3 linked regions of the Notamacropus eugenii genome follow. The protein of the gene in region 1 binds, or shares a complex with, the protein of each later gene. Links are inferred from orthologs where the notes say so. Each region holds a gene or a part of one and is shown on either strand. Other genes may lie near its edges.

The links. Proteins that work in one complex are often made in the same cells at the same time.
Region 2: ZNF541 (region 1) and DNTTIP1 share a complex: the UniProt entries of both Homo sapiens proteins name them as parts of the histone deacetylase complex. The link is inferred for Notamacropus eugenii from reciprocal best matches to the Homo sapiens genes ZNF541 and DNTTIP1.
Region 3: ZNF541 (region 1) and SAP30 share a complex: the UniProt entries of both Homo sapiens proteins name them as parts of the histone deacetylase complex. The link is inferred for Notamacropus eugenii from reciprocal best matches to the Homo sapiens genes ZNF541 and SAP30.

The regions. Positions count from the first base shown.
Region 1 is NC_092876.1:29,482,779-29,490,791, reverse strand, and holds the start of ZNF541 (zinc finger protein 541), read left to right. Parts: upstream 1-4,942; 5' UTR 4,943-5,527; intron 5,528-8,013. UniProt on the Homo sapiens protein: Transcription regulator which is essential for male fertility and for the completion of meiotic prophase in spermatocytes.
Region 2 is NC_092872.1:475,368,781-475,376,832, reverse strand, and holds the start of DNTTIP1 (deoxynucleotidyltransferase terminal-interacting protein 1), read right to left. Parts: upstream 3,045-8,052; 5' UTR 2,901-3,044; coding exon 2,796-2,900; intron 2,606-2,795; coding exon 2,535-2,605; intron 1,441-2,534; coding exon 1,344-1,440; intron 1-1,343. UniProt on the Homo sapiens protein: Increases DNTT terminal deoxynucleotidyltransferase activity (in vitro). Also acts as a transcriptional regulator, binding to the consensus sequence 5'-GNTGCATG-3' following an AT-tract.
Region 3 is NC_092878.1:87,835,593-87,843,559, forward strand, and holds the start of SAP30 (histone deacetylase complex subunit SAP30), read left to right. Parts: upstream 1-4,923; 5' UTR 4,924-5,051; coding exon 5,052-5,393; intron 5,394-7,653; coding exon 7,654-7,779; intron 7,780-7,967. UniProt on the Homo sapiens protein: Involved in the functional recruitment of the Sin3-histone deacetylase complex (HDAC) to a specific subset of N-CoR corepressor complexes. Capable of transcription repression by N-CoR.

The DNA of each region.
Region 1 (8,013 bases):
TCTCCTTCAAGGCCAGACTTAAGGCCTATTTCTTCTGTGAAGTCTTCCCAACTCCTAACCCTGACTGAGGCCCACCTAGAATTATCTTTCTTTTCAATTTCCATAGCACTAACTACATATTTCATTTGGCACTTAGACACTAGTGCCACCTTGTATCGTTTAGTTTTCTTTACAAATAAATATTTGTTATATATTTATATATTACATATTTGTTATATTTACAAATGTATATTTGTTACATGTTTGCAAATATTTGTCTACATGCATGTATACATAAGGGGATTAGCACATGTGTAGAGTGCCTTTGAAGATGTCTCCTCCTGTGAAAGAGACTAGGGGGCTGCCAGAACTGTGATAATGTATAACAGAAATGCTCTGGAGAGATGGTAGAGTGTGCAGAGACATTCTGTAGCTGGTTCAGGTCTGCCAATCTCGTGGTGTATAGGAGGCTCTTGGATGGGCAATGGGGGTCTCCTAGAAGGACAAGTAAGCAAAGGCTTGGCCATTTTCTCTAAAGATTCCATCGTGGTAGATCTCTTGGAATCCTTTGCTAATGGTATCTGATAATAGACAATGCAGTAAAGGGGAGAAGTTTTGGGCCCTCTCAAACAAGGTTGAAATGTGGTCCTGTGATGGGTCTTGGTTCTTGATCTCTGTTTTCTTTTTCATTCTAGTTGAATGGATTAGAGGCTCTGTCCTTGGTTTTCTAAAAGTCAGGAGAACAAGCATGTGGCCAGGCAAGCATCTGTATTTTGTGGCCACCTCAGCATTGATGCCCCAAGGAGTGACATTTGAGACTCAGATTGGGGACACCTCAGACAAGGACTCATCCAGAAATTACGCTGCCTTTGAATGTGAACTCAGTGGGACCAATGCTACATAGCAACTGAACTATGTTTGAACCTATCCTCCCTAATGACCAAGGTGGGATAAGGAGAGTATGTTCCCTTGAGGTATTGGGGGAATTGTTTGTATTTTTGTTATAGTCCCTTTGAAGGAAATACCCCTGTGTAAAAAAACTAATTAATATCAAGTGGTTAAATGGAACTGATTCCTAACAGTAGGGGTGACAACACAACTAGTGAAGGTTTGAGTCGATGACAGTAGAGAAGAAACACCCTCCAACCCCTCAAGAAACCCCTAGACCCGTGAAGGGTATGATGAAGCTGGTCTATTTCTAGAAATGAGCCAGTGTCATATACTCACACACACACACATGCACGCACACGCACACACACACACACACACAAAATACATGTAATGGGGGATGGCCAATAGAGCCCTAGTCCTTCCAGTATGTACAATCTGCTCGGCTTGGGGCCAACGTGCAAGGAGGCTTGGGGATGTCCATCTAAATCAGACCTACTCTTCCAATCCAAGTCAAGAAGCCCTTCTTTAGGAAGCCTTCTTGGATTGCGATAGCTCACAATGATTGAGCCCTCCCCACCCTGAGTTCTTATAGCATCTAAGAGTTTATAACACTCCTTCGGCACTTAATTACACTATTTTTTTTTTATCTTTATTTCTATTGTTTCTTCTCTCATCATCTGCATTTCTCCACTGTCTCTGCTCCCCCTCCTCTGACAGCCACACAACTATAGACAGTTATCTTTTCCTATGTACACGCCTTCCTCCTTTTCCCCTATTCAAACACTTCCCATCCTTCATGTCCCAGCTCAAATGCTCCCTCCTCTATAACACTGTGAAGTGAGCTCTTTCTCCCCTGAATTCTTCCTGGAAATGGTCTTTACCTTTCTTGTGGCATATTATGGTTCTTTGTAGATTGTTTTATCTCCTTCCCAGACTTCTGAGTCTAAGTGATCATTTCTTAGTTATCTTTGTAACTTTCAGATTGACTAGCACAATGCCTGACCCATAGAAGGCACTTAACAAATATTTGTCAAGTATTTATGTATTGTCTTATCTCCCTAATTAGGCTGAGGGTTGGGCCTCTGTCTTATTTCATCTTTATATCCCCAACCTAGCCCCGCACTCTTGCACCCATTAGACATCCTGTAAATGTTAAACCAATGAATGCCTTATCTCCCTAGCCAGAAAGACTGTAAACTTTGCCAGGGTAGAGACTGACTTCATTTTTTATATTCCTAATTTAGCAGTACAGGACCTTGGTGGAGGTAGGTTAAAGACAGAGACCAGAGCGCCCTATCACCTGATAACTCCAAAGCATCTGCCCGTTGAATGCAAGACAAAACGACAGGGTTGATCTTCCTCGTTCAGTCTTGGGAAGACACGGGAGTTGGCTTAATACCTATGTTTCCATTTTCTCTTCATCTTCACCACTAAACATCTATTTCTGGCTGAACAGTGGGCAAGGAGGACCCTCTTCTTCTTTGAGAGGTCGGGCTCCACAAGGAACATCTTGCCAGCTTCTCAGGGCGGGGGTGTAGCCAAGATCTCTCAGTTAATAGGGAGGGCTCTCGTTCTTTCTGTCAGCCCCCCCCCTGACTCATTCATTCATTCCCAGAGCCTGCCACACGAGGCACAGCAGGGGAGATACAGATGGATGAGACAGCTCCTCTCCTGCCCCTCCAGCTTCCACGTTAGCACAGGAGATAAAACAGACACATAAATCCAAGACACAGCAAAATAAAAGAAGCGCTCTCTGGAAAGCAGGAAGATGTTACCTGAGAGATCCCAGCCGGGAAATCATCCCACCTTTTTCCTTACGTCATCCTTCTCCAGGCGACCTGCTCCATGCCCTCTCCAACGCGCTTTGCCCCTTCCTGCCCGTCTGCAGAAGCCGGAGGGCACTGCCCACCCTCCGTGACCCGGCTGGAGGATGTTTTGGGTTGTTTCGCTGAACTTGTTCTTCGTCCTGGGGCAGGAGAATGGGAAGGGCCGAGTTTGGGATGGAGGCCGGGCAACAGCGGCCTCAGTACAAACGGGGCTGGACGCGGCCTTGCCCTGCCCGGGTTGGCCCCCAACCCTCCCGTGGCACGCCGAGGTGACCCCGGGGCTACAGCGGCGACACGACCCAGGTGGGAGGCAAGGGTTTTATCCGAGGGGTGCTAGGGGGAGGTGGGCACACGAATGCCCCGCAGCACGTACCGGGCCTAGCTCCCCGGGGCTCTGAACCCCCCCTCTAACCATGCCACCCCCCCACTGCCCAGGTTAAAATGGCAATCTTGCAGGAGCCTAGCGGGAATTGGGGATCCCACCATCTTCAGCGCCAGCCCCCCTCCCCGGCGAGGAGGGAACCTGCGTCCTCGAGGCCGCCTGGGGCCTTCTAGGTCCTCGCGTGCGGCGAGGACTGAGCCCCTCGTACAGAACAAATCCTTTCATTGGGGGGTTTGTTGTGTGAAGTTTGGGTTCGGTCAAAGGGCAGCACTCGAGGCCCTAGGGGCCCTCATGTGGGCCCGCGCCGCAGGTCTGCCCACTCCCCACTGGGCGGTAGGCACAAGGGGCTGGGCGCTTGGCAGGGGCTCGGTCAGTGTTGGTTAATAGGAGGCCACCCTTCTCACTTGACAGATGGGGAAACTGAGGCCCGGCTGCCATGCTGGCGGAAGCAGCGGAGGCCCCACGTCTTCCACCGAAAGACTTCAAAGTCTTCCCGCCCCCTCCTCTCCAAGGCCCAGTCCCTCAGGGGGCTTCTGCTCTAGGCCGCGCCCCTCGTCCCCGGAGCCCCCACAAAATGGCGCCCAACGGTTTCTCCGCCCGCCCGTTGCCCCGCCCCCACCCCAGCAGGTGGGAGGCATGGGCCTGTCACGTGACCAGCGAGCTTTCCCTTTCCTCCGCCTAGGCAGGCGGCCCTGCCTCGTCCCGTAATTTTCCCTTCCCCCCCTCCTTCTCTGCTTTGCCTTACTGGGGAAGGCAGTGGGCCAGTTCACGTGACCACCCCCATAGCTACCCCCGCCTGCCGGCGACATGTCACGTGAGTCATTACTCTCAGCCTCGCCCCTCCGGCACGCGAGAGGGCGGCAGCGGGCGCCCGTCACGTGATCGCCCCGCCCCAGGCGAAGTTCAAACTCCTCCTTTTCCCCGCCCAGGCTCCACCCCCACGAAACTCCGCCCACCCCCTGCTGCGCGCGGGAATCCGGGTAGAAACCGAATGTGAAGAGTGGGCGAGGCGTGCGTGCGTGCGGCCTAGGAGGCAGAGGCCGACGCCTGGAGGCGACGCACTCGCGCGCGCGCCGCGCAGCACGCTCGCCTTCACGTAGCGCGCGCCTGGCCCGGGCGGGCCGGGCCGGGGAGGGAGGGAGGGAGGGAGGGAGGGAGCGAGGGGGGGGGGGTGTGTGCGCGCGCAGCTTGGAGGGAGAGAGAGGCAGGCGGGCGAGCGCCAGGCACGAAGCGCGAGGCGGGCGCGCGAGCCCCCGGGGGCGGGTAAAACCCGGTTGCTGCTGCTGCTCCTGCCCCCGCCCCCGCCCCCTCCCCCCTTCCCTCTCCCCCGACTTCTCCCCCCCCAGACCTCCTCAGACCCGCCCCCTCCCCCCCAACCTTCTCAGGCTGGCCCCCCTCCCTCAGGAGGCCCTACCCCCGCACCTGCACCCCCAGGCCTTGCAATCAGCGCCCCGCCCCCGCCTGCCCCCTCGGAGCACCCCCTCCCAGCAAAAAGCCCTTCCTCCCCTCCAGCCCCCTCCCCGAAACAAGCATCCCCTCCCCCACCCTCGGAGCACCCCTGCGGCCCCCTGCCGAGCATCCCCTCCCCACAAATGCCCCTTTTCCGTACCCCACCCCCTCCATTTAACACCCCTTCCTAGCAAATGCCCACTTGTCTCTGCCCGCCATTTAGCAAATGTCCCCCCCGCCAGACCGCTCTGGTGTAGCAACCCCCCCTGGCACCTGTCGGGCCCCAGCGGGCCCTCGTAGCAGATGCTGCCCCCCGCAGGCCCTGCCCACTTACCCTCCCCCCTCGCTCTCCCTTGAATCCTCCCCGTTGGCGCACTCTCAAGCCAAGCATTCTCACCCAGTCCTCCCGCGTAGCAACCACTCTCAGGACCCCAGCCTCTCAGCAAAATCCCTTTCTTGCTCTGATCTCCACCCCTTGCAATCGCCCTCTTCCCCTACCTCAGATCCCTCATTTTGAGCAAAAATCTTTTCTCCTGGAGGTTCCCCTCCAGGAAATCCCCATCTTTCCACCTCAGTCACTCCCATTTAACCTTTCCTAGCAAATAACCCTTTTCCCCACCCAGGTCACCCTCCCTCCCCAAGCAAAAATTCCATCTCTAGTCCCAATTACAATTCTTCCTCAATTAAGTCTCTCCTTCTGCAAAACCCGCTTCTGCTTCTCTTACCCTTCCCAGTGACAAAGCCTCCAAAACCCCAGTTGACTATCCCCCCAGCTGCCCCTTCCTAATCTTGACCCTCCCCTCCCCTTCCTTCCGCCACCCACTTTCAGGACCAGAGGGAAAAGCTGTTGAGCAGGGCAAAGAAATTGAATTTGTGTCTGAAATTGGCACCCAGCACACTGGAGGAAAGCCCCTGATGGTCGGCTTGTCTGCTTTCTGAGCCCCCTCCCAAGGGTGCCTAAAACTGACCCCCCCCCAAGAGCCTTGGCTTGGCTCTTCTGGTGAGTATCCTTCCTCATAGGATCATAGACTTGGAGCTGGAAAGCCCCTTAGAGGTCATTTCATCCAACCACCTCATTTTACAGAGGAGGAAACTGAGGCCCAGAGAGGTTTTTGTGGCTTTTTGAAGGTCACACAGAGAGTAAGTAGGTGACAGAAACAGGGTGCCATCACCTATTGGGAGCCACCTTGTTAGTGAGGCACCTTTCTTTAGACCAATCTGCATTTACCGGGTATATCCCACCAACAAATGTGAGCCCCTTGGGGGTGAGGGTTGTTGTCATCTCTTCAGTGCCTAGCACGAGGTCTTGCACATCCAGTCCATAGTAAATGCTCCCTGCGTCATGCAGATAAGACACCACCCTGTCGCCCAATCCTCTTCTCAACCGACCTCTTTTCCTGCTGGAGAATTTTCCTTTCAGTAAATCTGAATGGAGACGGGAGACTCAGGGAGTCCCCCAACTAGTGGGGTGCAAAAAAACAGAGAACAGTAATAGATAGCAGGGTGAGGGTCCTACCGAATGGATGTGGACTCCTAAGTACTGTGGGGAAAAAAAAGTGGTTTCTGATGCTGGAAAAGCAGGGACAGGAAGCCTAGTATTTACACCTTGAATAGCAGTTGACATGTATATAAGCTTCAGGGTTTGCAAATCATTTTACATAATGTTCTCCACCAGTCCTCACCATCAACCCCTAGAAGGTAGGTGCTTCTATTCCAGTTCTATGGATGAGGAAACAGGTTAAATGAGGTGTCCAAGGCCTTCACCTAGAAACAGTGAAGCAGAATTTGAACTCAGTTCTTCTTGACTCCAAGTTCAGTGTGCTATCCACTCTACTGTTACCCCATCTCTCTGGTTTAATTTTGGGGCTGCTTATCACCCCCAAAGGGCTGATTTATTCTTTCAATTTTAAAGTGGAAGAAAGAGACCGAAAGAGACAGCTAGTAAGTGACAAGAGCAGAATTGGTGCCCGGGTTTTGTGACTCCCCCAGTACCATGATTTGTCAAACTAAAGTTTTTCTTGGACAGATAGGTTAGCGTAGGTTAGGGTGTAATTCCTGGGTTTGCTGAGAAGCATTTAGTATTCCCTCCCATACCTTGGATACAATATAGATATGGAAAGATACAGATGGTTACTTTTACTCCTGCCCCCATTTATTTTTCCCAAGTGACTCCAGCCTGTTGTTTGCTCTCTTGCAATCGCTAAAACTAAGATTTTTTTGTGACCGGTGAAAAGAAATCATTCATTTAGGCAACTATTGTGTAACCTTCCAGGATCATTATGAGTTGTGATTATGTAGCAGTCCTTTAGTGCCTGTCATGCATAGAACTGGGGAAGATGGGACACTGAGCAAAGATGTGGCCCTTTGCCTTCCTGCCTGTCTAGGAAGGGAGGACGAGACATACGCACCCAGAAAACCAGCATTCGCAGTCACTCTTGCTGAGTGTGTCCAAGGGGAAGAACAAAGGAGCAGTGTTCCTGAGGAGGACTCTGGGAAGGCTTCCTGGAGGAAGGGGCTGGGTAGGGCTTTGTCAGGCTGAGGGGCAGGGAAGGAAGAACATCCCAAGCATGTGGCACGATGTGTGGGGTCAGGCCCGCAGGGACAGATGGCATGTTAGTATGGGATGAGCTCCACAAGGTGGTGCTAGAGGAGGCGGCGTGAGTCTTACCAGTCAGTGAATGTCAGGGTTAAGCCACAAAACCTCTCTGAGGGGTTTGGGGGAAGGACAGGCTGGTGGAAATAGGGGTTTATTTACAGTTGAATTTGGACTTGGTAGTCGCGCCGATGTGTTCCACCCTACAAGGAGGAGTAGAAAGAGTTTGGGGTTTGGGGTCAAGGGAGCCCTGGGTTCAAACCCCATGCTTGATACTTCACTTGGAGGAGCCTTAGTTTCCTCATCTATAACATGGAGATGGCAGTACGCAGGCTCATTATGAGGATCAGAAGATAACAGGATGTAAAGCTACAGAACAAAATGCTACAAAAATGTCAACTCATGTAATCAACATAATGTTATCCTGTCCCCTGGATCTTGGGGTTTATCATCCAGTCTGGTCCCCTCATTTTACTGTTGAGGAGATTGGAAATCAGAGGGAGGATGTGATGGTGACTGCTAGGGGCTGAAGGGTACAGAGCACTGGACTGGGAGTCAGAAATCCCCAAGTTCAAATCCAGCTTCGGACACTTACTAGCTGGGTGACCCTGGACAAGGCACTGAGAATCTTTGCCTCAGTTTCCTCACCTGTAGTAAGGAGATTTTAGGGTTGTGAAGATCATATGGAATAATATTTGTAAAGCACTTTGCAAACATTCTGGCCCCAAATAAATGCTAGTGATGATGTTGGGGATGTAGCACTAGGTATTATGGAGCCTGGACCCTCCCACTCAGTGGCTTTTCCATTTCGCTACATTGCTTTCTCTCTCTTAAAACCACTGGAACAGCATTTAAGGGTACTGAGACCTATAAAAGAATATATGCTCAAGCCC
Region 2 (8,052 bases), on another chromosome or scaffold:
TAAGACACAGACTTCAGATTTGAGGTAAGGCAGAATTTCCCAACAGCTATCAAAAATGAAGATAGTTATCTTGAAGGGAGGGGGTTCTTCTTTGATGGAGATCTTAAGCAAAAGTTATGGAGTAAATGCTCTCTCAGAGACAGACTGGACAAGGAAGGCTGAGTACCCAGTTCCCCTCAATTCTGAGATTTAGTAACCTCTAAAAATCTGAGACTTTAATGCTAAGTCCTACATCATACGAGAGGTGTACAACAGCAATGGAATTCATTACCACAAAAAGCCTTGCAGGTAGACAGAAGAAATAAAGGGCTTATACAAGTGAATCAATGACAGAGCCATAAATAGCTGTGGGGTATACTTCAAAGAATCTAAGAGTTGAAAGGGATCTCTGATTGCATCTAATATAAACTGTTCCTCAAAAAGAATCTTCACTATGACAGACCAAGTGGTTGCCCAAGACTCCTCCTGAAGATGTCCAGTGACACAGATCTCACTACCTATTTTCTAGGGGAGTCCATTTCACTGCTGGATAGCTCTAATTATTATGAACTTTTTCTTTATACTTAGCCCAAATCTGCTTTTGCAGTTTCTACCTGATCTAAGTTCTGCCATCTAGGGCTAATCAGCACATCTAATTCCTCCTCTAATTCCTCTTAAATTCAGTTCTTTCAATGATCCCAGATAGTTACCTATCTATCCATCCCTCCCTCCATCTGTGAAGCTACTTCAGAAAATTTCCCTTCTTCAAGCTAAAAATCTGTAGGCTCTTCAAACTATCTTTTATGGCAGAGTTCTCAAGCCCTTTGGAGAAGGAAATGGCAAAGTACTCCTGTATCTCTGCCCAAAACAACCCCAAATGGAGTCACAGAGAGTTAGGCATGACTGAAATGAACAACAATAATTACTCCAGGCCTTTTACCACACTGATTGTCCTCATTTGGATGTGTTCCAATTTGTTGATATCTTTCCTTAAATGGGACTCACCTAGATCTGAATCGGGCATGGGACATCACCTTTATTTCTGCTATCCTTTAAGGTTGAAATCGGAGAAGACAACCAAACCTTCCCATGGGACATTCCTGAGGGCTATCAGCAACAGAATAGTAGGACAGATGGACTGCAAGTCTGACCCAGTGTGAGAATATTTATATCCTCACCAGATGTTTTCTGATGATTATTTACTGGAAATGTTGGTTGAGAAGATTTTCTGACATATATGAGTTGGATTAGGTGGATTTTAGGGTCCCAGGAGGACTCAGATTCTGATGTAGAAGATTAGATCCAAGCAAACAGGGTGCGTCTGTTAGTATTTCCCTGCCCATTTTTCCTCCAACATCACTTACCTTCATGTACTTGTTGAAGACTGTCTGAATTTCCTCATTGATGCTAGGTTGTAGGACAGCTCGAAGTAGGTCCATAGAGATGGCAGGGTCTGTGAAGCTGCATTTCAAAAAGGGGAAAAATGTCACACTAGTTACAAATGCTTTATTCATCTTTGTCCTGCCAGGGGCAATGACTCTTGTCATAGCTTGTCTTATATTAAATAATCCTTAAATAAATACCTGACCTTAAAGATGAAGGACTTCTAACATGGTCAATCAAAAAATCAATCAATAAACATTTAGAGTTCCTATTACATTTACAGTATTATAAATTTAAGAGACAGTCCTTGCTCTGAAAGAGATTATAATCTAGTTTGGGAGATATAAAATAGGCATAGCCTAGGGTTTATATCTAACTATCAACTCTGGGATCTGTCTTGGGAGGGAGCTGATCCTGGAATATAAATAAACTAGGCTTTACAGACTACAGACTTTTGGCTCTGATTTCTTCCAGACCCAAATACACACGTGAAGTTCTGAAGACTGGTCAATGATCACCACAAATGCTTGGCAGAATCTAGAAGATTTATGTTAAGGTGAAGGATTTTGACGCGGGGAAGATCATGATCGACTTGTTTAATTCACTAGCTGGCCATTAACTAACCCCTGATGATCTTACAATCTTCCATTTTTTGGGAACATTGTGGGGAAAAAACATGTTAAGAGTAGAAAATGCCCTTAGAACCCATCTAAGTCATCTCATGCTCCTAGAATCATCCTTAATTTACAGAGGGAGAAATAGAAGTCTAGGTAAGGTCTAGGTCTGACTTGCCTAATGTCAGAGGTCTAGAACTGGAATGTACCCAAGAAACTAACTGGTCCAAATACTTATACTTTCATCTTGCAGAGAAAAAACTGAGGTCCAGAGAAGACAAACTTTTGGAAATCACCTAGAGAAAAAAACCCTCTCATTTTACATCTTTATAAACGGAGGCACTTTGTTTTCTAGATCTTCTCATTCTACATCAGTGCCCTTTCTTTCACGGCACACAGGGAGCTGGGTCCGCCCTCCTGACCTTCTTCAGTGGTCCATTTCCAGCCTCCAACAAGGAAGACTCCCCGTTTCCTCCCTCCCCCGCCCCCCCAGCAGTGAGGGCTCCGGGGCAGCTGGTGCTGGTGCCACCGCAGCGTCCCCGGGTCCAGCGGGCTCACCTCGTAGTCATCTGGGAGCGGCGGCCCCTGCGCTGCACCTGCCGGTGTTTGATCATGATGTTCCAGGGGTTCTGCGGGAACCAAGGCGCTGGTGAGCCCCCTGCGCCCCCGATCTCGGACGACGGAGGAGGGGTTGGGGCTGGGCAAGGGGCCCTTCTCAGGCCTAGCCCCCCGCTCCAGCCCAGCTCCCTGCCCCGACAGGCCTCGACCCGGCCCGACCCGAGGGGCCCGTGCCCACCTTCCCCGAAGCCCCTCTCTCACCGTGACCACCAGTTGCCCCGCCGAGCCCTCGTCTCCAGGCTCGGGCCCGCCCCGCTCCGCTCCACTGGGGCCTCGCGGCTGCTCTGAATCCCGAGTGGCCCCCATGCTCCCTCCCTCCTGCACCCGGCCAGGCCGCCGCCGCCACCCCAGCCGCTGTCGCCGCTGCAGCCGGGGGTCCGGCCCAGCCCCTTAGCCACCGGCCGGAAACGAGCCCGTCACACGTCATTGCGCCGCGCCGCCCCGCCCCCCGGAAGAGCGACGCGGCAGGCGGCGAGGTTGCCATGGGAACCGAGCGGCGCGTGCGTCCGGGAGCTGGAGAAAAGGGGAAGAGGGAGAGCAGAGGCTGTTGGGGTCCAGGGCGGCTTAGGGTGGGCGTCGGCCGGGGCTTCTGCGGAGGGTGTGGCTGATGGGACCCCCCCACCCCCACCCCCGAGCCTGCGGGTTTAACTACGAGGGGGGGGGGGGGCCGGGCGGTTGGTAGTTTGAAAACTGAGTTTCCCTAAATGCCCCTGCGCCCGCGGCCGCGGAGAGAAGCGTCCCTGCAGGATCTTGGGCGAGTCTCCTTCCTTCTCTGGTCCTCTTCGTCCTCGTCTGTAAAATGAACCTGGCTAGTTGGGGTGGGTTTTAAGATTCCTTCCGTCTCTGATATTCTTGAGTTCCTGGGGTCCAGGACTTGGGAGGCAGGACACCTGGGTTCTAGGCTGACCTCCACCCACTGTGGGCACGTCCTCTCCCTTGTCTGCCCGTCTCGGTTAGAGTCGCTGTCCATGAGGTGGGATCTCGGAAATGCCTTCCAGCACCGAGGGTCTAAGGTAAATCAGCCTTGGGGCTGAACACCTCGACCTCTTATCGGAGTGATTCACCCTTAGTAGGAGCTGAAGCCTGAAGAGTAAGTCACGCCTTTTGGGCGGGAAGGAGAATCCCTCTGGCCTAGATACCAGTGATTTGGGGGCCTGGCTGGGAATGTGGACCGGACCAGCCCTTAAATACCCAAGTGAGGCATTTCAAGAGCTTGAAGACAAATCCTACAGACTCATGGATGGGTTTACAGCACAGAAAAGATTTCACTTTTCACAGAAGGTATGGCACTTTCAGGAATTGCCTCTAAAGCCAACACTGGTTTTTGCTGTTGCAGGAGAAAGATTCCTTCAGGCCTTGGATTTTACGGTAGTTTTCACTTGAAGTTCTGAGTTCCCTTCTTCTGTTAGGATTCTTTCAACAACCTAGTAAGCCCTGAATGCCACCGGCAAGGCTGCAGAATGACTATGGGTGTCAGGGGTGATCAGGCAAGCACCTGACTTGAGATCCAGTTTGTATCCTGGCCTTGGCTTTGCCATTAGCATCTAGGTATATGTCTCTCAGGGTTTTAGTTTTCTTCTTAGTAAAATGAGGAATTTGGACTAGGTAATCTCTGAAGTCCCTTCTAGTATTGCTATTTTATGGCTTACGTTCTAAGATTCCTTATGGTTCTGAAATTTTATGGTTCTTGCAGTGACTGACTAAACTAAGGCATGGGCAGGATAGAGAGGAAGTAAGAAAGGAGAAAAAAGGGGAAACAAAGAGGGAGATGTTACAGAGTGCTACTAGCAGTTATTGGCACCCATAGTATTGATGTGGTTTGGGGTAGCTGGGAACCCTTAAATGTCAGGGTACAGAGTGAGTCTGCCTGGAAAGAATTCAAGCACTCAAGCCTTTTTTCAGTCAGAGGAGCAAGGTTTATCCTAACACCAATAGAGAGTTAACACCCATAGAGTACACTAGATTCTTAAAGAATCTGCAGCTTGATAGGGGGTGAGATTGATACTTAAATATAAAAAAAGACCAAAGATTCTGATGGGATTAAGGTATGGCCTGGGGTGGGCCAGGGACAACAGTGAAATGGTCTAGATGAGATTAAGGAGGAGTAAATAGCCTGAGATGGCGGCAGTGAACTGAATTAAGTGGTCTGGGGTGGGTCACAGAGCCACAGTGAAAGGACTATTGAGATCTAGGTGGGCAGGACTGGGCCAGATGCCTCTGGCAAGATGCCAGGGGCTGGGTTGTGTGGGAAAATTCAGGGTCTAGGTCCCATCACACCATCAGTATTGTTTGTTTTTAGTCAGTTTTTACTCTTCAGTGACCCCTTTTGGGGTTTTCTTGGCAGAGATACTAGAATGTTTTGCCTACTCCTTCTTTAAGCACATTTTACAGATGAGGAAACTGAACCAACCAGGGTTAAGTGACTTGCCCAAGGTCACACAGCTAGTAAGTGTCTGAGGTAAAATTTGAACTCAGGTCTTCCTGACTCCAGTGTTCTGCACACTGGACCACTTAACTACCCCTACTCATAGTGTGGATCCACCAATTTCTTCATTTGTTCATTTGTGGTTGAGCTTAGAGAGATAAAGACGATGCTTGTCATTTTTTAGCCATTGACTGTGGACAACATTAATGCTTTCTATAGCTTTTTAGGAGCCTCCAAATTGTAACTTTGCTCTTTGTTTTTAGGGTTCTCAAGTTGACTAAATCCTGATGTATTTGATTTGCTTTTGGATGCAACTTCATTAGAGTGGGTCTCTGCATCTTTCTAACTATTTCTTTTTTAGTATCTTTGCTTCCTTCTCTGGACAGAATGAGAAGCTTGAAGGGGTGCTAGGTTTAGGACACAATGAGTTTGCTTTAGCCACAGCCCCATTGCTAGAGTGTACTGTTTCTTTAAACAGACTTGTAGGCTTGCTTCTCTTTGACTCTTTCTTCAGTCATCCATAGCGCCCTCACCAGCTGTCCATTGTAACACTTGGAAAATGTGTTAGGCTTTGAGGCTGAACATACTGTTACCTGTTATTCTCCCCACGTCTGTTCTTTGTAAATACAGTTTCCTATCAGGTCAGAAACCAATCCATTTTTTTTTTTTCCAATCAGGAAATTTCCCTGGCAGTGCATTGTATAAAGAAGGTTCTGGGGCTGAGTTCTGGGAAGTTCCTAGGTTCTGGCCTCTCCCTGAGCTGTTTTTTTGGGGAAACTTTAAAGCTGTGGTCCATGCTGCGCCCCCACCCTTATCCTCAGGCAGCCTCTGCCCCATCATGGTGCTTTTCATCTTTGGTACTGCGGTGTACCAAGTAATTGGGGGTGAGTGCTCAAGCACTTTGTTGCCTCCTTTTGACTACGACCAGTTTTCATCCTCTTAATTTTTTTTTTTAAGTATTGGTTTTCTTTCCCATCTCCTGCTCTCTTATCTCTCAGTCGAACAATTTAAAAAAAAGAAAACAAAAACGCCCCCAAAATATGCATAGTTCAGCAAAACAAATTCTCACGTTGTCCAAGTCCAAAAATGTACGTCTCTTTTTGCATTTTAAGTCCATTTTCTCTCTGGTGGGAGGTGGGGCCATGTTTTATCTTCAGTCTTTTGAACTTTTGCCTTAACATTGCGTTGCTCAGAGTTTTAAAGTCTTTCCAAATCCTTTTTTAAAAAATGTTGTATAAATTGTTCTAGTTCTGCCTACCTCACTCATCAATTTATAGAGACCTCAGTTATTTCCGAAGCTGTCCATTTTGTCATTTTTGTGGCACAATAAATATTAATTTTCTTCATATACCTTAATTTGTTAAGCCACTCTCCAATAAGTGGATACCCACTTAGACCCTAATTTTGGAATATTATCAAAGAGCTTCTATAAATATTTTTATACATGTAAATCCTTTTCCTCTGTCTTTTTTATTTTTTTTTAAATTTTTTTTTCAGAATAGACCTAGTAATCCATGGCTGGGTTATAGGGTTTAACAGTTTAGTGTCTTTTTTTGTGCATGCTTTCAAATTGATTTCTAAAATAGCTGAACCAATTCACAGATTCCCCAAGAGCTCATTAGTGTGCCTATTTTCCCAGAGCCCTTTGAACATTTGTCATTTTCTTTTTTTAATCATCTTTGCCAATCTGCTGAGTCTGAGGTGGACCCTCTTGAGTTGCTTGAATTTGCATTTCTTTAATCTTTAGTGACTTGGAGAATTTTTTTCATATGGTTATTGATAGATTGGATTTCTTCCATGGAAAACTGCTTTGTTCCTATTTTTTTGGCTATTTATTGAAAAATGGCTCTAGTCTCATAATTTTGAAGTAGTTCCTTCTGTATTTTGGATAGGGCACAACACAAATATACTGAAAAGATTTTTCCCCCCAGTTACCTATTTCTCTTCTTATTTCATCTTTTTATACAAAACCTATAAAATGTTACATAATGAAAATTATTCATTTTTTCTTGTGACCTTCCCTCTTTGTTTGATCATGAACTCTTCTCTCCATATATTTGAAAGATAATTTCTTCTTTGCTCTTTTAATATGTTTGAAATATTCCCTTTTATGTATGTCATGTACCCATTCAGAATTTATCTTGGTCTATACCTAATTTCTGCCAAACTGCTTTCCAGTTTTTGCATCAATTTTTGTTAGATATTGAGATTTTTATCCCAATAACTGTGGGAAACAAGGAAGTTCTGTTTCCACAGTTTGGGGTGATCAGGGTTGTGACCTAGCATGGTCAGGTAGAGGTCAGAAACTTGTGCACAGGCTTGATGAGCTGTTTGAGGGAAAGCCTAGCAGAGAAGAGAACATGAAGTCAAGTGGCAAGGGACAGGTGGTGATAGGTCCAAAAATTCGGAACAGTATAAGAAGCTTCCATTGATCTGAACAAGTTGAATTCTTCCTATAGCCTTACTGGGAAGCTATCCGTTCGTAATGAACATAGAAGGCACTCCCTCCTCTGAACTCTATTTTAATAAATTTTTCTTGATACCTTTTTGTGTGTCAAGTGCATCTCTAATAGTAACTAATGTCTTCGAGTTTATCAAATACTGTGCCCTTTTATTTTTTTGCTTCTCTGTGTTATATATCTAATCTATTCCGCCGATCTACCTCTGTGTTTTTTAACCACTACCAAATCATTTAAATGATTGCTACCTTATGGTGTAGTATGAGATCAGGTATTGATAGGCCCCCTTTCCTCCCACTTTTTTTCATTATTTCCCTTGAGATTCTTATTTGTATCCTAGAAAGAGATTGGAAATATCCCTTTCCCTATCACTGCATTTAGTTTATGCTATGTTGGAATTAATAGTTTTTTTGAATACTATTCATTGTAAATCCATCTGGTCTTGGATTCTTTTTCTTTGATATTTCATTTTTGGCTTGTTAATTTCCCATCTTTTTCCTCATTGTACATTTTCTTAATTATTTTTTTTGTGCTGTTTACTTCATGCAAGTTATAATTGTTGACATGCTATGGG
Region 3 (7,967 bases), on another chromosome or scaffold:
ACATAGAGTCCAGGGAGTAGAGTAAGAGAACAGTAATAAACTTAAAAACATAATGGCAGTGAAGCATATTTGTAGGTAGTATAACAGATCTTGAAGTTCTCTTTCTCCAGAGTCCTGAGGAGTTCACAGCAGGGAACACCTTTGATGACAGACAAGTAACTGGTTCTCAATTGGAATGATTCCTTGAAGGACATAGAATTTCTACTAGGGAAGCTGATCCATTGCAATGTGGACTTTGCTACAAAGTAGTTTTGTATTTGAGAATTGGAATCTTACAAATATGGATAACAGTTCGCAGTTTATTGGAAAAATAGCTGACTAGGAAGTGCATGGACATTCTGACCCTAAGTCAGAGTGAGGCCTCTGAGAGAGACGTAGTCTTTGGTAATCAGGAAAGAGAGAAGAAAAAAATGAATTAAACTTGGGGGCATTGGTCAATGAAGTTGGCATTTTAGGTGGTACAGTGGGTAAACTACTGGACCTGAAGTCAGAAAGAACTGAGTTCAAATTAGATATTTACTAGCTATATAGTCTTGGGCAAGTCACTTAACTTCTTTAAAGTTAGTTTTTTCCTCTGTGAAATTTGGACCATAATAGCATCTTTCTCATGGGTTGTTGTGAGCATCAAATGAAATAATATTTGTATAGCACTTAACAAAGTGCACACAGTAAAAACTATGTAAGTTCTAATTCTAGTTATTACTATGTTGTTATCTGTGTTTTACAATGCTTGATGTTTGGAGTGAGGAATCTCCTTTAGGAAAGGAAATATTCATTCTTGCTTCTGAGAAACAAGCAGACCAAAAGGACTTTTTACTCATCAGTGAGTGGATATTTTAGGGTTTATGCCTATTCTAAAGATCTATGGCAGAGAAGCCTCTGCGCTTTAAGCTAAAGGAGCAATGGCTAAAGGCGCTCTTCTTGGGAGAAAGAGTTTTGCTCCTCTCTTGAAGAAGAGATAAGCATTCCCAATTAAGCCAAAAGCTGTTAGTAAAGAGAATCTCCATAATCTCAGGCTCAGTGGGGCTGTACCTGGCAAAGACTAGCAGGAACCATGTTAAGCATATAAAGCAGAGAGCAGACCAGGTAAAGGGCAGGTTGAACTGACATCTCCAAAAGGAAATGGAAACTGTGCGGCATCAGAGTATTAGTGACCTTCCAAGTATGTGTCTTCACTACATGTGTTGGTTACATGCATCCTTCTACATGCTTACCTTGACCATATGTGTTCTATGCATGAACACTATCAGCTAGGTGGTACCATGGAGAGAGTGCTGGACATGGAGCAATCAGGAAGATTTACCTGAGTTCAAATCTGACCTCATACACTTACTAGTTATAACTCTGGCAACTCATGTAACCATATAATCTGTCTGCCTCAGTTTTCTCAAATACAAAATACCTATTTCCCTGGGATGTTGTGAGGATCAAGTAAGATATGTATAAAGTGCTTAGCAAAGTGCCTGGAACATAGTTGGCATTTAACAAATGGTCATCACTTCTACTCCTGTCTTCTGACTCCAGTCAGTCAACCGGTAATCATTTCTTAAGTACCTACTATGTGCTAGGCACAGAGATACTCACTGGAAACTTCACACCAAGGACTTTAACTACTGCATTGTTCTTTTCTGCCCTCTGGGACCAAGGATCCCAATACTACCTCTCTTCCACATGCTATCCCTTCCGACACTGGACAGCTACCCTCCAAGTCTTCTCTTCTCCAAGCTAAACATCCCCAGTTTCTTCAACCAATTTCCATATGTCATGTTTAGTTGGAATATTCACTATGTGAGGGGAATGGTTGAAGAAGAAGCTAGAAAGGTATGCTGACACTAGATTGTGGAGGTTCTTGAATACTAGGAGAAGTATTTTTTATATTTTATTCAATACGCAATGAAAAGGCATCAAAGATTTTTTAATATTTATAGAGCAGTCATGCAGTTTTTTTTTAACTTAAGAATGATGTTCATAATAGTTGCTGCAATAACAAATACTCATAATCTTCATGCCGTACGGGAGAAAAAACTTTCTATATAGAGAAATCAAGCAGGAAAAAAAAATCAAAATGGGATTAGGTAAATACACATTTATTAAGCACTTACAATGTTTCAGGCATGGTGCTAAGTGCTTTACAAATATCTCATTACAGCCTCAAAACAACACTGCAAGATAGGTGCTATTATTATCTCCATCTTATAGTTTTGGAAACTGAGGCAGATAGAGGGTAAGAGCAGTAAAATATAGAAGACATGTGGAGGAGGAAATAGGCTGGAGGCAAGAAATGTAGCTTTCTTGGTATAGTAGTGGAAGAGAGAAGATATAGGACCTAAAACAAGATGATTGTAGGGGGAGTGAAAAGGCTGGTGAGGAATGTGTGTGAAGATAAAAGTGATACTTAAAAGACAGAATTATTTGGACTTACTGGTTGACTGGATAGGGGCTAAGCGTGGGTCAGGGAGAGGGGTGTCACAGACAACTACCCAGATGACTAGATGTTGGTGTCATCAACAGAAATAGAGAAGTTAGAAAAGTGACATGAGTTGGGTGAGGATTTGATTTACTTAAACACATTTATTAAGTGTCCATTGTGGACTCACCCAGCTCCAGTGAAATATGGTTGAGATTTGGATTAGACAGGATAGACAAGGTCCCTGCCTCATAATTCAGTAGGGAATATGACAGGGCAGCTAGGCAGCACCGGAGATAGAAGTCAGGAAGACCTGAATTCAGATCTGAAGAAGTCACTTAACCTGTTTGTCTCATTTTCCTCATGTGTAAAATGAGCTGGAAAAGGAAATGGCAAACCACTTCAGTATCTTTGCTAAGAAAATCTCGAGGGGTCGTGAACAGTAGAATACAGACGAAAACGACTAAACAAGAGGGAATATGACACACACAAACAAAAGCAAGAAAGGATACATAACAAGTGCTGGAGAGGGAAAGTGTTATTTCATGGGATTGGGGGAGAGGGATGGTGGTGACATCAACAGAAATAGAGAAGACAAGGAGAGAGACACGTTTGGGGGAAGATATTCAACTACCAGAGATTCTTACCTTTTTTTGTGTTTTGGACCCCTGTCTGTCTGTTGAAGCCTACGTATGCTCAAATTTTTTTAAAACATGTGTAAGCTAAAATATATAGGATTACAAAGGCACAGTTATGAAAAATTTTTAAGAGTCCCTGGCCCCAGGTGAAGAACTCCTGAAACCAATCAACCACCCACCCAACCTCCTGGGGAAGAGGCGTTCGGTTTAAGTTCGATATAGGCTAGGGTTTCCAGTGCTCCCAGGTCGGGATGTCCAGCAAGCAGCTGGATCTCCCGGACTCTCGCACCTCTGAGGAAAAGTTTTAGAGGTGGAAAGAACTGAACGCATCTAACCAAAAATGAAGAGATTTGAGCGCTCCCTTCGCAGTCAGGGTGTGTGACTGGTTCAGCTCGTCTGAGGATGGCAAGGAAGTGAGTGGGCAAAGAGAAAAAGGCCTACAGCCCAGTCCAGACGGAGCCGGCAATCCTCACTCCGTTATTAACATGTTCTGCACGCCAGCAAAGACGGAACTTCCATCTGACCCCCTCTCTTTAAGCCTGAGCAGCGAGGTGGGGGTGGGGAGGGTGGGGGACAAGGCCAAAGAAAACAGGACGGTCACAAAGACTTTCAAACTTTCTGCCGAGCCGCGTTCGTGTAGCTGGAGCCTTTAAAAGGATAAACGGGCTGGTGCATGTCCACGCCCCCTGCCCTCTCTTGATTTGGTAACCAAGACTCTCTCCGCCTCTTTGTTTTCCGGACAAGTTGTTAGCTCCGCCCAAGGAAAGAGGTGGACAAAACTGGCAGGCTTAGTGTGCTCGGATAATGCAAAGGTTATATAAAGCTTACCCCCGCCCCCGCCTCGTCAACTGACTGGGAGAGGATGGGGAAGGGGGGCGCGAAACCCAGCCGGGTTCGGGTTGCGACTCTCACCAGGAAACCCACCTGGCTGTGGGCAAGAGTCCCCGTTTCCCTAGCTCCCAACAAGCCGTTGGAAATGCGGGGGCTGGAGATCCGGGGAGAGACTTGGGGCACTGTCCACTGGGCAGGATACCTGGACTCAGCGGCAGGAGGTCCCGGGAAGGGCGCTCCGGTCTGCGGGGCTTTACACTGAGCCAAGGGTAGCTCGGTGCGTGAGAGGCCCCGGGACCCTTTCCCCACCTTCTCCACGCCCCCTGCCTCCTTTCCCAATGCACACACTTGGCATACGGGGAGCGAAGCGAGTGCCCAGCGGGGCACCTCGGGCAGCCTGCCTCCCAGCGATCACCCCAAAGTGGGAAAGTCTAATCCGGAGAAGCCGACCCTGCACTTCCACTTTTCCCAGGCAGCCAGGAGAGAGCTGAGAAAGAGCCAGGCCTGCCAGCATGTACCTGCGCAGTGCACTTCGGTCTTAGTAGTTCTTCATCCGCCCGGGCGAGCCAAAGCCGAGAAGAAATAAAGTATGGGGTCGAGGGAGGTGGAAAGAGAGCCGGAACGGACTACATTGCCCATAATGCTTCATTCTCTGAGGTGGGAGGGGTTGGAGAGGAGAGTGTTTGTGTTAGGAAGAGGCAGGGAGGGGCCGGCGGAGCGGAGGAGTGTCGCGCCTGCGCACTAGCCGCGGGCTGTGGAGAGGCGGAGGAGGGAAGGGGGAGCAGCCTAACAGCTGAAGAGTCTCCACATGACAGAGTGAGCGCGGTTGGAGCCGGACGCCCCTTCCCGAGCCGGGACACGGAGCCTGCCGGCCCGGGACGAAGAGCAAACGCCGGGCCGGGCGCAGAGGATTGTCGGGGTGGTCGTCGGCCAGTGCGGAGTGAGTTGCCGCTGGGGCCCGGGCCGGAGCGGGACCGCTCCGTCCGCCCAGCGCAGGTGCCTCGGGGGCCGGGGAGCGGAGCGGGGACCGAGGCCGGAGCGCAGGCTGCTGCCTCCCCCTCGCTCTCCCGCCGTCCGGTCCGGCTCCGGGTTCGCCGCGGCTCGGAGGGGTGCGTGAGCGGAGGCGAGAAGGGGGCTCCCCCGGCCGCCGCCGCCGCCTCGGAGGGGAGGCCACCATGAACGGCTTCCCCCCGGACGAGGTGAGCCGGGGAGGGGACGCGGCCGCCGCCGTGGCCGCCGTGGTGGTCGCCGCTGCCGCCGCTGCCGCCGCCGCCGCCTCGTCCGGGGCGGGCGCCGGGGCCGGGGCGGGGGCCGCGAGCGGGGCGGAGGTGCCGGGCTCCGGGCCGGCGGCGGCTGCGGCGGGTCCCCCTGGAGCGGCGGGCCCGGGCCCCGGGCAGCTGTGCTGCCTGCGGGAGGACGGGGAGAGGTGCAGCCGGGCGGCCGGCAACGCCAGCTTCAGCAAGAGGATCCAGAAGAGCATCTCCCAGAAGAAGGTCAAGATCGACCTGGACAAGACGGTGAGTGACCCTGGGGCCCCGGCGCCTGCGGGCGGACTTGCGGGAGCGGCGTTAGCCAAGTCACCGCAACTCCTGCGGCGGCATCGGGAGCCCCCTCTTTCCCCATCCACCCTCTCCTGTCTTCTTCCATCGCGTTCACCTCCTTCTCCCATTCCCCCATTCACCTTTATCTTTGGCCCCCGTGCCCTTCCACCCCGTCCACCTCTACGAACTTTTCCCACCTCCTCCTTCCCCTCCTCCCTTCCCCCCACCCCTAACTTCTCTCATCCCCCCGTCACCCCTCAGTCTTCCTTTGCGCCCACTTCTCCCCCTCCTCTTCCCTTCCTTCTTCCCCCTCGGCGTCTTTTGGGGCACGATTGGGAAGCGAAACAAAGCGGGGGAAGCGAGCAGGGGAAGAGTTGTTTTCCTCGCCGCCCCGTGGCCCAGCCTGGCAGGGAGGCTCCTTTGTTAGGCTGCCCGAGCTGGGACGTGGAGATTGGCCCGGCTCGTGGTTGTCCCTCGGTGCTGTGTTTGAAGCCGCCCGCCTGGTCCGGGACAGCCATGGAGTCGGCGGTGGGGGAGCGGGGCGGGGGGCTGCCTCCACTCTCTTCCCCGGACACACTCGTGTATACACACACGACACACACGACACGGAGAGAAGCCTGAGCTCCTCCCACTGTCTGTGGGGGCTGGTGGACAGGGACCTGGGCATTGCCTCGTGGGTGTGTTGCTCGTAGGTCTTTGCCATTTCACGTTCTTGTTGGCAGACCTCCGGGGCTGCCCCCGTGATCGTGTCCGAGGTTTTTAGAAGCTGGTTTGATCCGTTTAGTTTGTCTGCCTGGAGGAAGGTGAAACAACTGTTAGCTCTTTCAAAGGCCAGCCAAAAACAAGCCTCCTCCTTCCTTAAAAATAAGCACGCTCTTTCCTGAATCTTAACTTCCTCTGAGCTTAAAAATCCGTTCGTAAGGGTCTGTCGAGCAAGTCCTTCACGTAAGACAAAGGATCGCCCTTTAGACTATGTGTATTTGTTGAAAAAGTGCAAGAAATCAACTCACATCTGGTAACTGACTAGTATTTAATAAGACGCCGTGCGTTTGAGGCTTGGGGAAAGAAAAAATGAATGATGACATCCCCTCGAGGAGCTTACGTTGACTGGGTTTATTTTTAAAAGTAATATAATAAAAAGTTGATAGAATGTGTTGGGGCCAAAGGAGATCTCTGAAGTACCGAAAGAGAATGTGAGGAGGGAGAAAAAGACTCGTAGCTGAAGGATCTGGGAATGCTTCTCGGAGGAGGCACCTGAGCTAAACCTTGAAGGAATTTTGATTGGCTGAGTGGTAGAAGAGCCTGCATTCCAGGAACTGAAACAGGAACAGGCCAGGCCAGCAGTGCACAAAGAAGGCTTTTCCAGCTCAAGGACTAACTAGCAGTCCAGTTTGGGAACCTAAAGTATAGGACGGGAAGTGATATGAAATAATTTGATTCTAATGTCAACATACAGTTTTAAATAGTGTTACAATCGAAAAGGTTATAAGTAAATTAGTTTGTTTAAAAGTTAACTTGTATTTGTTTCTACGAGTTTCATTTTCTTGAGTCATGGAAAGTTATCTTGAAACTATTGGGAGGGTAGATTCCATTGGAAACAGAAATGTAGACTCGGTGATAATCCAGTTTATTAGGATCTGAATTATGAATAAAGAAACTGGAATTAGTAGTTAACTTTTTTAAAAAAGTTGCTATCTACTAAGTATTTATGATACCCTGATTATAAGTTGGAAGTTGTGTTTGGAAGAAAGAAGGGGAAAAATAGAGAACATGTTGTACTTAAAAAGATCCTCTCTAGAGAAAGCAGTGTGCTACTCAAAAGAGCTTTACAGTAAAAAGAGCCTTTCTTATATTTGAGAGAGACAGCCCTAGACTCATTGCCCTCCCATAGCATTTTGATGCCAGAAAATAAAGGCCTAGAAAAAACTTCTATTGTCTCTCTTCAGCAGCATACCATTTCTGAAATAGACTAGTCACAACACAACAAGGTAAAGTGCTCTTTCCTTTGTATCAGATGAATCGCGGTGATTTCACATGAAGGATTCTGGGGGGAAAAGGAATATGATAGAAATGAAGACGTCCAACTTATAAGTTACTTTTCTTATAACTTTATCCTTAATAATTCATTATAGCATATGGTACTTCCAGATTAGAATCTAGATTTTAGTTTAATTATGTAATAATGAGCTCTGTTGGAGACTTGGGTTTTTTTTGATGATGTCTGTTTTCCCCCCAGGCAAGACACCTCTATATTTGTGACTTTCACAAAAACTTAATTCAGAGTGTTCGAAACAGAAGAAAGAGGAAAGGCAGTGATGATGATGGAGGTGATTCACCTGTGCAAGATATAGATACTCCAGAGGTAGATAAGTAGTTATTATATTTTTTTGTTTTTCAATTCAGCAAATATTTATTAAATACCTATGTCATGAACTAATATTCCTGCAGTGAAATAATTAAAATGCATGTTATTGTTAATAGTTATGCCTGCAAGTAGGTGAAGTTTGACTTTGTGATATTTTCTGTTTTAAGTCTTAATTTGATGTTTAA